Macaca mulatta: one gene and its partners. The protein of the gene in region 2 interacts with the protein of the main gene of each other region in a pairwise test. Links are inferred from orthologs where the notes say so. Each region holds a gene or a part of one and is shown on either strand. Other genes may lie near its edges.

Evidence for each region. The genes of interacting proteins can lie anywhere in the genome.
Region 1: the proteins of ANXA11 (region 2) and PLSCR1 interact in a two-hybrid assay, tested with the Homo sapiens proteins (2 studies listed by BioGRID and IntAct). The two-hybrid records come from large-scale screens. The link is inferred for Macaca mulatta from reciprocal best matches to the Homo sapiens genes ANXA11 and PLSCR1.
Region 3: the proteins of ANXA11 (region 2) and TFG interact in binary tests that used the Homo sapiens proteins (3 or more experiments, as listed by UniProt). The two-hybrid records come from large-scale screens. The link is inferred for Macaca mulatta from reciprocal best matches to the Homo sapiens genes ANXA11 and TFG.
Region 4: the proteins of ANXA11 (region 2) and PDCD6 interact in binary tests that used the Homo sapiens proteins (3 or more experiments, as listed by UniProt). The link is inferred for Macaca mulatta from reciprocal best matches to the Homo sapiens genes ANXA11 and PDCD6.

Annotation. Positions count from the first base shown.
Region 1 is NC_133407.1:49,526,796-49,531,060, forward strand, and holds the start of PLSCR1 (phospholipid scramblase 1), read right to left. Parts: upstream 2,801-4,265; 5' UTR 2,651-2,800; intron 1-2,650. UniProt on the Homo sapiens protein: Catalyzes calcium-induced ATP-independent rapid bidirectional and non-specific movement of phospholipids (lipid scrambling or lipid flip-flop) between the inner and outer leaflet of the plasma membrane resulting in collapse of the phospholipid asymmetry which leads to phosphatidylserine externalization on the cell surface.
Region 2 is NC_133414.1:69,791,487-69,797,416, reverse strand, and holds the start of ANXA11 (annexin A11), read right to left. Parts: upstream 3,695-5,930; 5' UTR 3,556-3,694; exon of another isoform or gene 3,488-3,555; intron 3,431-3,487; exon of another isoform or gene 3,255-3,430; intron 1-3,254. UniProt on the Homo sapiens protein: Binds specifically to calcyclin in a calcium-dependent manner. Required for midbody formation and completion of the terminal phase of cytokinesis.
Region 3 is NC_133407.1:182,895,446-182,899,496, reverse strand, and holds the start of TFG (protein TFG), read left to right. Parts: upstream 1-1,251; 5' UTR 1,252-1,502; exon of another isoform or gene 1,503-1,593; intron 1,594-1,682; exon of another isoform or gene 1,683-2,053; intron 2,054-4,051. UniProt on the Homo sapiens protein: Plays a role in the normal dynamic function of the endoplasmic reticulum (ER) and its associated microtubules. Required for secretory cargo traffic from the endoplasmic reticulum to the Golgi apparatus.
Region 4 is NC_133411.1:1,373,055-1,377,184, reverse strand, and holds the start of PDCD6 (programmed cell death protein 6), read right to left. Parts: upstream 2,801-4,130; 5' UTR 2,726-2,800; coding exon 2,625-2,725; intron 1,694-2,624; coding exon 1,632-1,693; intron 1,521-1,631; exon of another isoform or gene 1,382-1,520; coding exon of another isoform or gene 1,305-1,381; intron 1-1,304. Other genes in the region: ubiquitin domain-containing protein TINCR-like, read right to left, coding at 1,305-1,381. UniProt on the Homo sapiens protein: Calcium sensor that plays a key role in processes such as endoplasmic reticulum (ER)-Golgi vesicular transport, endosomal biogenesis or membrane repair.

The sequences.
Region 1 (4,265 bases), on a different chromosome or scaffold from region 2:
CCCAGGACTTCTACCTGTGAAGTTCCCTCTGTCTATAATGCCCTCCACCACTACACACACACACACACACACACACACACACACACACACACCCCCAGCCCAGGACTTCTACCTGTGAAGTTCCCTCTGTCTATAATGCCCTCCACCACTACACACACACACACACACACACACACACACACACACACACACCCCCAGCCCAGGACTTCTACCTGTGAAGTTCCCTCTGTCTATAATGCCCTCCACCACTACACACACACACACACACACACACACACACACACACACACACACACCCAGCCCAGGACTTCTACCTGTGAAGTTCCCTCTGTCTATAATGCCCTCCACCACTACACACACACACACACACACACACACACACACACACCCAGCCCAGGACTTCTACCTGTGAAGTTCCCTCTGTCTATAATGCCCTCCACCACTACACACACACACACACACACACACACACACACACACGTCTATAGACTAATTGATTTGAGACTTCCTTCAGCTCTCAATCTGACTCTCCTCAACACCCCCCACGCCACCACCCCAGCCTAAATAGAAGGCTGGCTATACCATCCAGGATTGTGTAAGTAAATTCTATGATGTTCTCACAACCACCAAATTGCCTCATGATGCATTTCTCAGAATGTATTCCTGTCTTTAAGCAACACATGATTATGTTGGACTTCCTAGTCTCCAGAACTGTAAGAAATAAATTTCTGTCCTTTATAAATTACCAAGTCTCAGGTATTCTGCTACAGCAGCAGACAACATATGGAGACATCATTTTTTTCTAATGACTTATTAAAAGAACATATGGAAAACTGAAGAGTGCAACTGTTAGTTCTGATTAACTAAAAAGTGTTTTGGCTTTTTAATTTAGCACTATTCAGGGTAGTGCTATAGAGTGTGTATATACACAGATACACATATATACATATAGAAATACTTCCTATATAAATATTCACTAAATATAAAGCTGGTGTGGTTTTTAAGGAATTAATTGAAGGCATAGAGCATGCAAAGCACTATACCAGGCACTAGAGCACAATACCTAGACACTAGGGAGACAGACAATTAAGAATGTAATAGATTATTATAAACACTCTAAGTGCTATCAATAAAATTAATGTTGCTACAAGAAAGGGTTACAGGACACTAACTTAAACAGTGGTAGGGGGTTTAAGAAAAGTCAGACTGGGAGCTGAAGGAAATCTCAAATCAACTAGTCTACGGAGGTATGGTGGGTGGGGTGTTGGAGGGCATTATAGAGACAGGGAACTTCATAGATAGAATTCCTGAGCTGGAGGAACATGCCTCATTCAAGGAAAGGAAGACCAGTGAGGTTACAGAGCAGAAGAGGGAGACATTCTTAGAGATGAAGACGGAGAGGTACATAAGCGTCTGCTCGCACACATTTGATGTCTCTCCACCTGTACTCTAAGCTCCTTTACAGATCTAAAGGCAGTTTGATCTATAAACCAGCTATTTCACATGCCACTTTGCTATCCAACTGCAGAAATCCATTCATTTCCCTTTATATGTCTTTCATTTCCCTGCATTTTCTCGTTGTTCAAAGCCCTACTATGGTTGTAAACAGGGTGGCATTAAGGGAAAAGTTTGCTCTTAGGAAAAGTTCAAGAAAGGAGGCCCCAAACTGCCTGACACGTTTAAGTGTCACTTGTAGTAACCATGTATCTCAATGTGATAAGCCAGAAAAAAAACAACGACTGCCTGTTCCTGGAACTGGGAAGTGGCCATGCCAAGACTTCCAGGAATAACAGTGCATGAATGAAACCACATGGGAACCGGAGAGTCAGCTTGGAGAAGCAGGAACTTTGTCAAATATTTAAAATAATAAAAGCTCACTTTCACTGAGTACTTTCTGTAGTGCCAGGCACTGCTCTAAGAACTTTACATTAACACATATAATACTCTGTAGCTCTTTTAATAGTTACACAATTTCAGAGATGAGGCAATGGAAAGAATATATATTAAGAAAGTGGCTGACAATCCACAGATGTGAAGCAGTAGAGGCCAAATTTCAAGTCGGGGAGCCTGACTGGAGCTAATGGTCTTAGGAACCGTGCTAGATACCGCCGCTATCTTTTCCAAGCTAGTATTGTAGAGGGTTTAGCATAGATGTGGGCTCCAGGCGGACTTCAGTGAATACTTACTGATAAATGCCAGCTTGCAGGCTGTATTAACCGTCCCTTCTAATAGCCCCACTATGCTGGCACATGCTCCCGAGCCCAGTCTCTGCCCAGGATTCAGCGCCGCTCTCTGCCTGTAGAGCAGTGTAGCTAAGGGGAAGCCGAGCCCCGCGAGGCGTTTTCAGGCAGGACACCCCTTTTCATTCGAATGATTCTGGGTGAGCCCAGGTGCCGCTGGGCCGCCTGGGGCCCCTTGCCGTGCATCTGCTCCACTTACAGGGTCCCTTTCAGAGGTCTCTTGCATTTCTGGCCCCAGCCTTCACCCCACATCCTCCACCCCCAGAGCAGCAAACACAACCGGCTGGCCCTCGCGCCCGTTCCCCGTAAGTTGGCCCCCACACCTGATCCCGGCCCTGGCCCCAGCGCAGGCTCCGCGCAGTTCTCGCGCCCGAGCCCCGGGGAGGCGGCAGAGAAAGCCGCTCGCGCACCTGTGGCTGCCGCTGTTTCCGCTCCCGAGAGAGCCGAGGTCTAGAGAGCCGGGGTCAGGCGGTGGCTTCCTCTCCTGCGCCTCTAGACTGCAAGGCACGGCTACTGCGCAACCTTCTCGGAAATCAGCCGGAACAGGGTCTGCGAGTAACCCTTGCGCCAACAGCCGCGGCTACTGGTTTAGTTTCCTGGATCTTACGTACACAACGCGGTTTCCTTTTCCTGGTTCCCGCGTTCGCGCCGGGGGACCCGCGGGACTATTGCAGGATGAAGAAGCTGGAGGAGGGACTGCACCCACCACCAGTTGTGAGGCCCCTCCCCTACCCCCGACTTGCTTTCTTGCTCATTGGAGAGACTCCAGAGACTTTTGACCGGTGGTTAAGGAGAGGAACTGGGACTCTGTCACTAACTGGAACTGGAAAGTCATCAGCTGGGGAGTGGCCTCCCCCGGGAACTTTCTTTACTCTGACTTTGACCTCCATCCCTCGGAAGCCCGTGGCTTTTCAACGCAAGGAAGCAGAGGCAGCTTAGACTACAAATGAGGAGTGGTCAAAATTGTTTTTTTTTATGGTGCCTTTTCTTTCTTGCTGTCTTGCTCTTTCTTTCCTTCTATTAAATTATGTGATATTATTTTTTATTTTTTTAGGCAGTTATTTAAATGTTTTTAAGAGCTCACCTTATTTTTTAATAAATATTGTTCCTTTTTAAACTAAAATAGTTTTTATTGTCTGTATTTAAGTTATGCGTATGACATATCCATCAACTCCTATAATTACACATTTCCCCCCTTGGGGCAAGAGCAGCTCTAATTTACTCATTTAGCATAAATCCTGAATACCACGATCATTAACTATAGCCCTCATGTTGTACATTAGGTCTTCCCATTTGTTCATCCTACATGTTTGTAACTTTGAATTCTTTGACCTAAATTTCCCCATATCTCCTGACCCTACTCCAACCTGGATGACCCTGGATAAACCGGTGGTCCCCAACCTTTTTGGCACCAGGGACCAGTTTCACGGAAGAGGATTTTTCCATGGACCAGGGTCGAGTGGCAGACGGTTTCAGGATGATTCAAGCATATTGTATGTATTGTGCACTTTATTTCTATTATTGTTACATTGTAATATATACTGATGCTGTCAGTGCAGACACATTTGATGACGTGGTGGCCTTCAATAATTGCTTCTATGTGTTCTTTGTGTTCATGTTTTCATGGTTTCTGTTTTTTTGTTTGTTTGTTTGTTTGTTTTAACAAAACAAAAAAACTCCAAAGGCTTGTCTTTTAACGCAGGGTGCTTGGTCTCCATGTGGCAAAGCAGTTTTGCAGGTTTCGAGGCTTCATTGCATAGTCGATCATCACATATTATACAAAGCAGGGTTGGAGAATGTGAACCACCTGTTGCAGTGAACCTGTAATTTAAGTAGGACTCTTGGCATTTTCCTTTAAATGTGGCTTTATTTTTGTTAGCAGTTTTAGAGTCTTCTGTTGTCTCATCATTGGGTTTTCCCCATTTTCAAAGAAGCTGTCCAGTAATGTTTGTTTTTCACTCACTTTGGCTAGGCTAGGCTTAGCTTGTGGGCTTAGCAAAACTGTGACTAAGACAAGTGCACAGT
Region 2 (5,930 bases):
ACACATGCACCCTTTCCCCCAGCGGTGCCACTCCCCAGGCTGGATGTGCCATATGCTCTCCAGCCTCCCCGTGGGTAGCCTCCACATTTCTCCTCTCTGCCCTCACTCAGATTTCCCCCCATCTCAAGTCCTCCAAGTCAGCCACCCCCAGGTGTGAGGGGCAGGGGACATCTGACTTCCCTCTCAATTTCCTTTCCTTCTTTTCTGCTAAGGCGGAGCCTAAGCCCCTGGAAAACTAGAGATCTCAGAACCAGGCTTTGACGGCATGCTCCACCCGCTGCTTCACAACTCCTGGCAGTCACACACCCACGATATCAACATTGTCATCACTACCCCCTAACTGATCTCAAACCCCTTTGCAAACATCTTCTCATCTGATTCTCCATTCCAGGCAGGCATTTTATTATCCAGAACTGTTCTGTGTGGGGGGGGCTCAGTGTGGCTGGGTGGCTTGTCCCAGGATACCCAGCACAGAGAACTCTGTCCCCCAATTTCTTGGTTGCCCCCACCCATTCCTTCCTCACTTCAGCATGGGCAAGGCCAACTGTGGTCTGGGTCACTGTTCAGGCTGTACTTTTAGGATCCTCCCAAATAACAAACAACTATGTGACTATCAGGTCTTTATTTCATGGGTTATAGGAGACAGGATCAGTAGGCCTAATGTGTAACAGTTTCAGCGGTTATCAGAGAGTTCCACTGAATTGCAACAATTCCCTTTAAAAGCACAAATGCCCACCAAGAAAACCTCAGTTTCTTCATTAATCCTAACAGCTTTCCTATCTAGGTATCACTCAGAATTCCCACTATTCTGGGGGTCATGGGATCAGAGAGTGCTGCAGAGAAAAATCCACAGAAAGTGAAAAGTCTGTTTCCTTGGCAGTGCTGGTGAAGCACACCCTTGCACACACGCTTCCCCATGGGACCAAGTGCCAGGAACTGCTTCAGGCTTATGGGGGAAGACGGTGGCAAAGAAGAGAGAGGAGGCCGGGCACGGTGACTCACTCCTGTAATCCCAGCACTTTGGAAGGCTAAGGCGGGCAGATCATCTGAGGTCAGGAGTTTAAGACCAGCCTGGCCAACATGGTGAAGCCCCGTCTCTACTAAAAATACAAAAATTAGCCGGGCACGGTGGCGCATGCCTGTAATCCCAGCTACTCAGGAGGCCGAGGGAGGAGAATCATTTAAACCCAGGGAGCAGAGGTTGCAGTGAGCCAAGACTGTACCACTGCACTCCAGCCTGGGCGACAGAATGAGATCTGTCTCAACAAAAAATAAAAATTAAAAAAAGAGGAAGAGGAGGAGTGAATCCAGGAGGAAGGAGGGGGTGCACCAGAAAGGTCCTGGAACCTCTGATGTTCCAGCATTCAGCATGCATTTTGGTTCCACATTCACCTCCTGCCCACACCAGTTTCTTTTCTCTATTCTACAGTTCCCAAGAAGAACCCACACTAACCTATTCTGTCTCAACTCCCACTCCTGTCATCCCAAGTCACACATCACCTCCCCAATCATGTGAACTAGGCATCACTAATCGATCCTGGCCTTCTAGATACGTCCACCCAGGGTGAGCCCTTTCTATAATATCATGCATAAAGGCATCAGATGGGGCTTCCACTCCCACCTCTTAGTCCCAATTCATCACCATCTCACCCTCCCCACATTTCTCTGCCTATCCAAATCCAGCCTTCAAGGTCCTATACTTTAACCACAGGGAAACTACTTCCCTGTGCTGCCTCTGTCGTTCAACTAACGACAACTAATTTTCTGAGCACCTACATTAGGCAAGGCCCATCCTGAGTGCTACCACCAAGAGGTAAGTCAGAAACAGCCTCCACCCTCCAGAGTCAGAAGACAGGGCAGAGATAAGCCACATGGCCACACAAACACTAGGCACAAGGTGAGAGATGAGAACTGAGTCAGTGCTGGAGGGGCTGAGTGAGCTCAGAGCATATCCCATCCCTCCTGCTGGGCAGCAGGCACCAGGATGGCTCCCAGGAGGGTGGAGAATCCTGGGCCAGACGGGGAGGGAGGGCATTCCAGGAAGACAGACAGCATGAGCTTAGCATGAGCTAAGCCAGAAAGACGGTTCAGGAGAAGCGCATTTCAACTTTAGCTGAACCTTCCACTGCTACTATTTACTGACCCTTATACCTGATTATTTATGACCCAGGCCTGCCTCACACACTTTATGGCTAATCTGGGTGACACCCATCTGGGACACACAAGTGTGGTACAGCAGTCACCACCTGTTCTGACTGGTCCGTACCTGAGCGCTGTATGGTTATTAAATGAATGAATGCACTGAATCTCACAACAAACCTGTGAGGCAGGGATTAGTATTACCCCCATTTTACAGATGAGGAAACCAAAGCACAGACAATAGTCAGAGACAAGATAGCAAGGTATGCAGGAGCCTGAAGTAGTGGGCACCCAATGCCAGGGCAACAAACTGCCCTGGCACCTCACCTGGCCTCCCTTGTCAGGGAACACCTTGCAGCACAAAGAATGCGTTTAGGAAAGGGGGCCTGTTAATCCTCCTGGAATCCCCAACAGTTGACTGCCGCATAAAAGGAATGAGGAAAGCAATGAGAGAGCCAGTGAAGGGTGAGCATGCCCTGCAAACCTTTAGTCCCTGTTGCGTGGGCAGGGCAGGGGCTCGGCCTCACAGCTCCACTCCATGCCTAAGGCAGAGAACAGATGGGAGAACCACCACAAACGCCCAATCTCTACAGAGAGGTCACTGATTGGAGGGCAGAGACAGAAATGCCCCGGGCCGACTGTTTCCAGCTTGGGCTAGCACTGGCTGGCTTAACTTTTCCCCTCCAAAGTCTCTAGGTGACAAATTTCGCGTGTCTCCTTTAAACCAACAGACCGTTTTACTTTTCTAAGTCTTAAGGGCCTGGCCTGCACCCATGGGGAGATACAAGTCCAGGAATCCCTTCCTGAAACTGGGGATCAAAGTTGGGGAAGGGGCGAAGGGAGGCACAACATCGGGGATGGCTCCCGCATTCTCTCAAACATTGGGGAGAGTTCCTTACAAATAAACTGCAATGGTAGCAGCTCCCATGAATGTGCGTGCTCCCAGTTACGGAGGAAAGTTCCTGAAGATAGCCTTGTCTGCTTGCTCTCCCCCAGCCTTGCCTGAAAGAGCGCGCGCACCCCGGAGGGCCCCGCGGGGCTGCGGGGCTCGGCCTCCGGCATCCCTCCAGCCACCCGTTGCCTCCTCCGCCCAGGGTCACGGCCCCCGGCCTTACCCAAGCCCAGACTGAGACGCTGACCCCTGAGCCCGGGGGGGCCGGCGAGTGCACCCCGACCGCACAGGAGGGGGCAGCCCCCGACGCCGAAGCTTATTGAGGGGGCTGCCAAGCCGACACGGCCAGCCCGGGACCCGCCGACGCCTCCTCTGTCCCCCACCCCCACGCCTGTAATGCAACCAGGAAGCAGCAGGGCCGCGCTGGGCTGGGCGCGGGGCAGCCCCGGGCCTCACCTGCGGTGCCGCGGTGCACTGCCGCCGCCTGGTCCCAGGCCCCCGGCCGGCCCGGGACCCTCACTCACCTGGCCACGGGGACTCGGGACGCGAGGGGCGAAATGGGACTTGGGCGGGAGTGGCTCTCTCCGCGGGCGTCCCGGACGCGGTGCCTGGGTTCTGCCTGGCGCTGTGTCCCACTCCCGCTCGCGGGGCACTCGGGGCACTGGGGAGTCGCGGGCGCCGCAGCCTTCAGGGCGGGGCGGGAGGAGGAGCCTGCCGGGCGGAAAACTCCGCGGGCGCGGTTGCCCCAGGCGCCGGGGGAAGGGCAGGGAAGGGGCGAGGCCTGAGCGCGGCCCCGCCCCGAGATGAGGCTTGGGCAGGGCGGGCCCGCGAGCAGCAGCGCCCTTCCGGCTGCGCAGCTGCTCCAGGACGTCTCCGGCTCTGGAGGTCCCTCTGTCGCCCCTAACCCCCTGCAGCGCCCGGTGCAGCGCAGAGCCGCATTCGCCCTCCTGCAGGGGTGGGCATTTCCTAAATCCTCTCCAGCCCCGTGTGCGTCGTTAGTGACTCTCTTTAAGGTAAAGAAAACTTTTTACACTGAAAAGGTCAAACACATTTCTTTCATATCAACACTCAGTGGTGGTGGAGGGGGGAAGGTCACGCACAGTATGTGAGGAAGGGAGCGGTCAGTAACTATCATGGAGAAACCTGACCAACCACCCAGCCGTCAAGGTGACCTCGACAGCGGTAAATCATACTGATTGCATGCACCGCTTGTGGTCTTCCTCCCAAGAACACCTAATCCCACTGTAATCATGAGAAAAACATCACAAATCAATTGAGGCCCTTGCCATATACATGACCAGTACTCCTGAAAACTAGCAAGGTCATCAAAAACAAGGAAAGTGTAAGACACTGTCACAGCCAAGAGGAACCCACGGAGATATAAAAATGACATGTAAAGTGGTATCCTGAACGGGATCCTGGACAGATAGTAGGTAGAAACTAAGGACAACTGAATAAAATATGGACTTTAGTGCGTCAGTTTTGGTTTATTCATTGTGGCAAAAGCGCCACACCAATATAAGATGTTAGTAATAGGAAAAACTCGGGTTTATGAGAACTCCCTGTATTCACACTTTTTCTGTAAATCTAAAGACGTTCTAAAAAAAAAAAGCTTATTTTTAAAAGGTCACACAGGTAATATATGCATATATGGTAGGTATGCAATTTTTTTTTTTTTTAATGTGTGGTGGCTGACACCTGTAATCTCACAGCACTTTGGAAGGCCAAGACAGGAGGATGGCTTGAAGACAGGGCTTCCAGACTAGCCTGGGCAACATAGTGAGACCCGGTCTCTAAAAAACTGAAAATAAAAAATTCAAAAAATGAATAAAAATTGAGATTCACCCTTCTCTCCACTCCCCCAGCCCACTCTTAGGCGTGTCCTTCCAAAATATCTCTCTTCAATACTGTGTGTGTGTGTGTGTGTTTACATAAACGTATTGTTTACAAAACAATATTGCAGTACTTTTCTGCAACATGTTTTTTTACTCACTATATCTTGGAGGGTCTTTCCATAGAAGCGCTCCCGAACAGACCTAGTTCTTCCCATCCGCTGCACACTGCGCACCATCGTGCACTTCACCATTCTTCACTACCTAGCTCCTTACTGAAGGACATTTAGGTTGTTGCCTATGTTTGACTGTTACAAACAAGCTGCTGGTGCGATTTTCCTTTTTTTTTTTTTTTTTTTTTGAGATGGAGTCTCCCTCTGTCGCCCAGGTTGGAGTGCAGTGGTACGATCTCGGCTCACTGCAACTTCCGCCTCCCGGATTCAAGCAATTCTCCTTCCTCGGCCTCCCGAGTTGCTGGGTCTACAGATGCTCACCACCACGCCCGGCTAATTTTCATATTTTTAGTAGAGACGGGGTTTCACTATGTTGGCCACACGGATCTCGAACTCCTGGGCTCAAATGATCCGCCCGCCTCGGCCTCCCAAAGTGCTGGGATTACAGGCGTGAGCCACTGCGTCCGGCCCGATTTGCGTTTTAAAGTCGCTCCGAACAATAAAAGCGGGAAGGGCTGGAGGGGAGGCTCTGACCTTCTCCCTGTCTGGGCAGGTGTGCTGGTGCCGGGCAGGAACAGCGCCTTGCCTTGGGGCATCCTGGCCCCGGCCTCACAACCGGCCCTGAGCGCTCAGTCATATTCCGTGGCCGCTCCAACACCCCCGACCCCCACCAACAGGCGCGGCTCTCTTTCTGGGCTGGACCACATTTTTTGGACATGAGTCCGCGAGTGAGGGTGAAATTCAGGCCAAAGTCTCCAGAGCGGCTCGGAGAAAACGTCGCCTGGAACTGAAGAGCAGAGGGTCAGAGGCACCACCAGAAAGACTCTCAGAGTGGGTTACTACCCTGGTGGCGGCGCCCGCTGCGGCGTAGGAGATGGCAGGACTGAGGGCGCG
Region 3 (4,051 bases), on a different chromosome or scaffold from region 2:
AACCACTCATAGACTGCTAAGTGTTCAAATAAGGCAAACGCCAACCTGTAACCAATCCAGCTGTTTCTGTACTTGACTCCCGATTTCTGTACCTCATTTCCCTTTTTCTGTCTAAAATCTTCCACCACATGGCTGTGCTGGAGTCTCTGTGAATCTGCTGTGATTCTGGGGGCTGCCCAGTTTGTGAAATCATTCGTTGCTCAATTAAACTCCTTTAAATTTAATTCAGCTTAAGTTTTTCTCTTATAACTGGTAAACAACTGGAGACCAGGTAGGGTATAAATGCTTTATTTATCGGCTTAGTCTCCACCTTCGAAGTGACAAAGATTCTCTGCTTGGCCAAACTTCAGGCTCCTGAGCCTTCTCCTAGGCCCATCTGTGCATCTTCTTGTAAAACTCAGTTTCAGCAAAGAACCTTGTTAAGTCAGTATAGTAAGAATCCCTCACCCTTGATCAGGTTCCTCATCCTCCACCACCCCCAGGTGATGTCTGTTATCCTGGCCTGTCTTCATCTAGAATCCTGTTGTGTTGGTTTAGCCAGAATCTCCCTTGTCCCTGACATTTCCTCTTAGTAATTTTCCATCCACTGACCGACTCCCACCCCTTGGCTATAAATTCCCACTTATACTGTATTTCTATTTGAACAGGTAAAGGAGAAGGGAAGAGTACGTAGTGCACACTCAAATGCCTTATCCTCCAAAAATCACTCAGGAATCATTAGCCTTAATTTCCCAGCTTTTGTCCTTTACACAGTCACAGATTTGTCTTGGCTTATAAACGCTGTCGGTCTTCCCTGCTGAATTGGAAACTCCTTGCTCACAAAATGATTCACCCCCATTCCTAGAACGGGGCTTGGCAAAGCGTAGGCTCCCAGTAATGAATGAATAGATTTGTGGAAGAAAAGGTTTTTATTTCATCTGTTACTACAATGGTCAACAACAACGACAAAAACCACTTAAAGTTGGACAGACCTGCAACCGGCTCTCAAAAAGTCTAGAACAGCGCACTACGCCCCGCCCATTGGCGAGAAACGGAAATACATGCTTTCCAGAAAACCGGAAGTGCCTGGTCACGCCCCGCGCATGCGTGAATCGGCGCAGCTCACGCTTCCTACAGCCCATCATCCAGCGAGAAAGCAGGGAGTCTTCGGTAGAGGCAGCCGGGACCGAGGCAGCCGGGACCCAGCCAGCCCTGAGCCTGGCGCATGCGTCCTGGTGTGTCCACGCGCAGTAAGGAGGGGCGAAAGGGCTTTTTTTTTTTCTTGCTCCCGCCTCTCTTCTTCCCCCACCTGCCACGTACAGAGCCCGAGTTCTCGCTAGGCTTGTTGGGTCAACGCGATTGGCCGAGGCCCGCGTGAGCCTGCGAGCGAGGTGCGGCGGTCGCGGAGGGCAACGGAGCGGGCAGTGACCACCGCCTCCCCGCGACGCGCCAGTCCAGTGGCCTCGCGTCGGCCCATTCAGCTGAGACCTGCGGCGAGGCGGCGGCGCGGCCTCCGCAAGCCGGTATGGCCACTGGAGACGGGGGTTGCGGCCGCTCTCTCCGAGGAGGCCGGGAGACGAGGAGGCGCTGTGAAGGCCTCGCTCGAACCGCCCGGCGACTGGGGTCGGAGGCGCTGGGGAAGGGGCTGGAGGGAGGAGGGGGTGGGGGGAGGACGGAGCCGGAGGCAGGAAGGGCGGGGCTTTGCATAGGGGGAAGGGAAAGGAGGTCGCGGAGGGGGAGGGCAGAGAGGCAACCCCTGGCCGCGCTGGCCAGGAGGCGCGTCTCGGGGGCTCCGGGAGGCGAGTGGGCCAGTTAATTCCTTGGTGCAGCCTGCCTCAAAGGTTTTGGATTGAGAGGAGAGGGCCTTTGGGAGGTCTGGGTTGGCCGGCGCCCAGTACCCGAAGGCGCTCGGAAGGGTGCGGAGTGGCGCCTACGGGAATAAGTTGATTGGGGTCACTGAATTGGAGCCTGGTTCCTTGGCTAAGTCAACGCTTAAGCGCCAGCTGGAGGCCCAACCTGGTTTTATAGTGATGATTCTAGCTAATTTTAAGAGTTTGCTTTGCTGGACACTAAAGTATTTGAGATGCAGTGTCTCATTTAATCATCACAAGGATGCCTCCAAATTCAGATATTGTTATTTTCATTTGGAATATGTTGAAAGTGAGCCTTCGAGGACTTAAGATCACATCGCTGGTAGTGGGAATCTTGACCGTCTTGCTACACTGCCTCTGAGGCAGGGTTTGAGGCCTGTTGCCTTGTTTAGAATAATTACAGGTTGACTTGACTTAGTATTTCTTGAAGGAAACTGCTCCCCTCAGGAGGTGCCTAAGCCACAGCCTCTGAAATTGAGCAGGGTCTTACCCTTACAGATAGCAGAACCAGAAGTATGGCCACTGAACCTAGATCCTGGTTCAGGAGGAAGGCTTTTTATATGACCTTGAGCATGTCAGATTATTCCCAGTGCTGAGAAAAGCGTTCCTGTTGGAGGGTTATATTATACAAGTTAGAGGCCGAGACATTTCTGGACTTCAGAGGGGCCGGGGCAGGGACAAGATGGGAGAAGAGCTTGTTGTAGGGCTCCTACTGGCAGTTCTAGGAGCTAGTTGTTAATACCAGTCTCTACTTTGGAAGAGAAAACGAGTACCAGAATTCTGTATATGAAGTAATGTTGGGATGGGATTTCCCCTTGAGAGGAAACTTTTGTTGCACACTTACTTTTGAGATACTTTTGTGTTTACTCTGGGGAGATGACTGCACGAGCTAACAACAGCTTTAGGAAAGAAGCACTGGTTCCTGGCCACAAGATATTTACAGTCAGTGGGAAACACAAAAAGTGAATTTGCATGCAAACACATGGAAGATAGAAAGTATACCTGACTCAATTTTTTTTTTTTTTTTTGAGACGGAGTCTCAGGTTGGTGTGCAGTGGCGTGATTCCCCCGGCTCACTGCAACCTCCGCCTCCCGGTTTCGAGCGATTCTCCTTCCTCAGCCTCCTGAATATCTGGAATTACAGGCGCGCACCACCACGCCTGGCTAATTTTTGTATTTTTAATAGAGACGGAGTTTCACCATGTTGATCGTCTGGTCTTGAACTCCTGACCTTGTGATCCGCCCGCCTCGGCCTCCCAAAGTGCTGGGATTACAGGTGTGAGCCACCGCGCCCGGCCTTCAAATTTTAAATCCATTGAAATTGGGCAACAAACCCGTACCCCAGTCAGAAGGACATACCATCAATTATATTCAAAGCTGGAATTTTTTCTTAATTAGGCATGTGTCTGACGGAAGTCACTTCTAGCTCCATAAAGAAGGTATAGTGTGAGGATCGGATGTAAAAACTGATCTATATGACAGCTTTCTTCTCCCATACTTCAAAAAATTTAAAGTCTTTAAATACTATATGTCAGGCACTTTTCTAGGTGCTGCTGGGAATAGATAATACCAGCTTACTGAAGCTAAGCACTGGGTCCTTTTACATTATTCCTGGTTTACACTTCTTGTAGAAAGGAGAAGGTAACAAATACATTGATTTTTTGAAAGATCTTTATTACTCTTAGGCTGCAAAGCAAACAAGATGGAATATTTACCATCTTGGTGAAATAATTATACTTTAGAGCTTGGCACATAGTAGGTATTTAGAAGTAATTCCTGAATGCAGAAGGCATTGCAGAAGGCGAAGAGTTGATTGTATGGAGATTTCTGTTAATCACTGTCTTCATGAGAAGTCCATTGTAAGAACTGGCAGATAAAAAACTAACTGTATTCTTACTTTGCGTTAAGATAAGCATGGCATCTCTAGAGTGGAATGCAGTTCACTCTATTCTGCATTGACCTTAAAGTGTTATATTTAGTTTTAATGACCCATTTCATTGAAGATTTATTAATAAAATATCTGTTCAGAGCATGGTGAGGGGTCTAGAGATACTAATTTAAGGACTAGTTAGGTGAAAGGACGAAGGGTATTTATATGAAGAATAGTAGGGCATTAATATATAATATTCATATAATAGGATTCATGGAAACTTTTTTCAAGTACTTGAAGGGTTGATCTGCTGGGGGAGTAGGTGAGTGCT
Region 4 (4,130 bases), on a different chromosome or scaffold from region 2:
AAAACCTGAGCAAACGCATAAAAAGCAGGCTGTTAAAATGGATCATAAATCTTGCATCACTCACTGGAAAACCACTCAAAATAAATGTCTCCGCGACATGGCCTCTGGGGAGGGCACTCTGTGTGGCTCGTACCACCCTGGTGACAAACCACTTGAACCTGGGTGGTCATCTGATGACATTTCACAGATGATGCACAGAGCCATCTGCACCCACTGTGGTCAACATTGAGGACGTTTTAAGCTAAGATTTGCCAAATTGTAGCCTACTGGATTCCAGGTTCTCTTGACATCTTTTTCCAGTAGCCATGTCTTGCACTTCCCAAGTATAAAGGAACCGAGATGCAAATTTAAAAAAGGAGGATTTAAGAATAATGAAAAGAGAAAAATCAAGAAAGCACAATCACTAGTGCCGATAATAGAATTTCTGAATTCCCTGAAAACAATCTATATAAATGCATGTGAAATAATACACCAGCATCTGTGGCCCACACGTCACGTATCAGGAACTGATGTCAGAATATAAGGTAAACATGTTACTGTGAAAACACAAATCCTCACAAATCATTAGGCAGTAAGGCTGAATGAAGCATCCCCCCAGGCACAGCGCAGTGAGGCAGTGTCCAGCAGCCGTAGTGCTCCCCGCGCCCCAGTCCAGTCTCTGGCAACATCAGGTACTTCCCACTAATAACGAGGAGCCTTTTAACATTTTCACAACATCTCAAAACCGACCCCTTTTCTAGCTTAAATGGCACGGATCTGGAAAGGGAAACTATACACAGAATCGGAAAAGATGACTGCCCCTGAGGGATTACAGAAAAAGCTGCAGTCAGGTGTTCAATGAAGTAAAATGTGTCCAATGATACCGCAGGGGACGGGGATCAATTGAGCTGAAACTGGCAAGAACTAACTGCAGGGAGCTCACAACACCCAAGGACCCGGATTTCCCGCCGCCTGAACGTCCAGTATTCGCACACTGATAAGAACACCTCCCCATAATTCCCCTGCCAGCGCCTCCAACACCCCCAATCCTTTCCCCAGGAATGCAGTCCCCGTGTTTGCGGCTCCTGTAACAGCCACTTCCCCACACAAGTGCTGCCTGAGCTCCCCAAGCCCTCCAACCACCACCCCCCAAGGCCCTCGAAGGTCTATTCAGAGAAGTCACCAAGATGCAGTCACCGAGGAAATTCAAGGACCTCCAACTTACCAAAAGGCTTCCGGCTGTACAGAGCTAAGCTTCCTATTCCCCTCCTAAACCTACAACCTAGTTTTCATTTCACAAGAAGCCTTTCCCTGTGCTCATGCACGCAGTTGTCAGCCGGCTTGGTGAGGCACTCCAAATAACAGCGGCAGCCACAACAGAAACCAGAAGCATCTCCACCATGAAGCAGTAATAATAGTTTGTCCTAATGATCCCTTTGTCCTTGGAAAATGAACTTCAGAAAGAAAGTTATCCACTGCGAGCAGAGCAGGCTTCTGGGTCCGGACCCAGGTCCCACGGGCCCACTCAGCGGCTTCTGGGTCCGGACCCAGGTCCCACGGGCCCACTCAGCGGCTTCTGGGTCCGGACCCAGGTCCCACGGGCCCACTCAGCGGCTTCTGGGTCCCGACCCAGGTCCCACGGGCCCACTCACCGTTGGAGAGAGCTTGCTGAAGCTCGGTGTCCGATATCACTCCACTCCTGTCTTTATCAACCCTACAACATCAAGAAGACCAAGTAAGCTGGCGATCCAAAGTTCAGGAAAAGCAAAACAAACGTCTCCTGTCAACCCTGCACTGACTCTGGAAGGCTCGGAGCCTCCTGGAACCTCCGCCTCCCCCATCCCGCTGAGGAGGACACGGGAATCAAGGAAGTGCCGCAGGAGCCCACGTCCAAGCGGGGTCTTCCCCTAAGAGGCCAATCATCTTTCTCTCTCAATCTTTCCCTTCCTTCCTCTCCTGGCCTGTCTGAATTCACATTTGCACCAGTTTCCCTTTTTCACAAACAAGATTCCCTCAGATAACTAAGGCATTCCCTGGCCATGAGTCACTGCAGTTTCGGTCATTCATTCCGTGGAAAAGCGACCGGGACAGAAGGCGACGCCGGAAAGGTCACCTGCCCCGAGCAGACGCCAGGTCGCTGCTGCTTCCTCGGCTGCTGACACTTAACAGCGCCCAGACATTCTGTCTCTGCTTTCCCCGAACAAGCACCCCTGGAGACCCTCCGCCCGGCGGCTCCTGAGGCGAGAAAAAGGGCCTAGCCCGGGAGCCGGTGGCCGCGACCTCGGGTCTGCAGCGGCTACTCTGCACCTCTGGAAGGGCCCAACGCACAGGGCAGGGACCGGGCAGGAGGCGGGGGCGGCCGCGGGAGACCCACAGGGGACGGGGACGGCCGCAGGGGACCCACAGGGGACCGGGGAGACCGCAGGGGACCCGGCAGGGGACGGGTGCGGCCGCAGGGGTCGGGGCAGGGGACGGGGGAGGCCGCGGCGGTCGGGGCAGGGGACCGGGGAGGCCGCGGAGGACCCGACAGGGGACAGAGGAGGCCGCGGGGGAACCGGCAGTGAACCGGGTCCGCGGCGGTGGGGGCAGGAGTCGGGGGCGGCCGCAGCGGAGGCGGGAGGTGCTGGGACGGTGCCAGGCCGCACCTCTGGAAGACGTTCCACAGAAAGCTCTGGTCCGGCAGCGCCGCGCCCGCAGCAGGCCCTGGGCCGGCCCCGGGGCCGGGGCGGTAGGAGTAGGCGGCCATGGGCCAAGGCGCGCGGCTGGGCTGAGGCGTCTACTGAGACGTGAGACCTCTCAGGGCGACTCCGCTTCCGGCTCTGCCGGGGGCAGGGCCTGGCGTTACCTCCACTTCCGGGGGCGCAGGAAATGCGTAGTCTCCGGGATGGTCACGGGGTCCCGCGCGGCCAATCCCCTCGCAGCTCAGTTACCAAGCAACGCCCTGGCGCCTGCGGGGCCTGTGCGGTCCGGGGCGTCTGGAGAAAGCCAGAGCTCTGGAGCAGGCAGCCGGCTACCGGTGCTGGGAAGGCGCTTGGAGAAAATGTCCGGCTCTGCGACCCGGGACGGGAAGTGATGGAGTAGGGAGTTAGTTAGCCTTTCAGTTCATGTATAAAAAGAAGTTTTGACGTGAATGTGATTCAGGCTAACAGTCGGAAACTCTGGGCGGGGCGCGGTAGCTCACGCCTGTGATCCCTGCGCTTTGGGAGGCGGAGGCGGGCGGAGCTCCTGAGCCCACCAGTTCGGACCAGCCTGGGCAGCGTGGCCAGACTCCATCCCTACAAAAATTGCAGAAAATAGTCGGGCGTGGTGGCGGGCCCCTGTGGTCCCATCTACTCCATGGGCAGAGGCGGGAGGATCGCCTGAGCCCGGGAAGTCGAGGCCGCAGGGAGCCGAGATCACTGCACTCCAGCCCGGTGGACAGCCAGACTCTGCCAAAAAAAAAAAAAAAAAAAAAAAAAGCAGGCCGTGCGCAGTGTCTGACGCCTGTAATCCCAGGACTTTGGGAGGTCGAGGCCGGTGGATCACCTGAAGTCGGGAGTTCGAGACCAGCCTGACCAATATGGAGAAACCCCGTATCTACTAAATATACAAAATTAGCCGGGGGTGGTGGCGCACGCCTATTCCCAGCTATTCGGGAGGCTGAGGCAGGAGAACTGCTTGAAGCCGGGAGGCGGAGGTTGCAGTGAGCGGAGATCAGGCCGTTGCACTCCAGGCCTGGGCAACAAGAGCGAAACTCCTTTAGGTTTAACCTGCGCCCCCGCGCTCTGCCTCAGCGCCGCCCCCGACGCCGTGCAGCTGGCAACACTGGGCGCCTCCCTGCCCGGTCCCTTCCCGCCCCTTGGTGGTGGTGCAGCCCTGTCTCCCCCGAGACAGCACTGCCTCCGTGCTGGACACGGTTCTGCGGTGGAGCCTGGAGTGCCTGTAGCACCAATCCCCGGAATTGGGAAGTGCCCAGCTTTGGGCCACTATGATCCCTGGATCTTTGCCGCCTTCCACCCCAGTCCTGTGTCCTGTGTCCTATGTCCTGTGCCCTGGTTCAGGATACTACAATTATTCTCATTATTTCGTGGGGTTTTTCCAGCTTTTCAGGTTCTTCAGTGCCTCATTCCACTAATGCTCTTTTCATCCTTGTAGCTCCAAGTGTTGTCTCT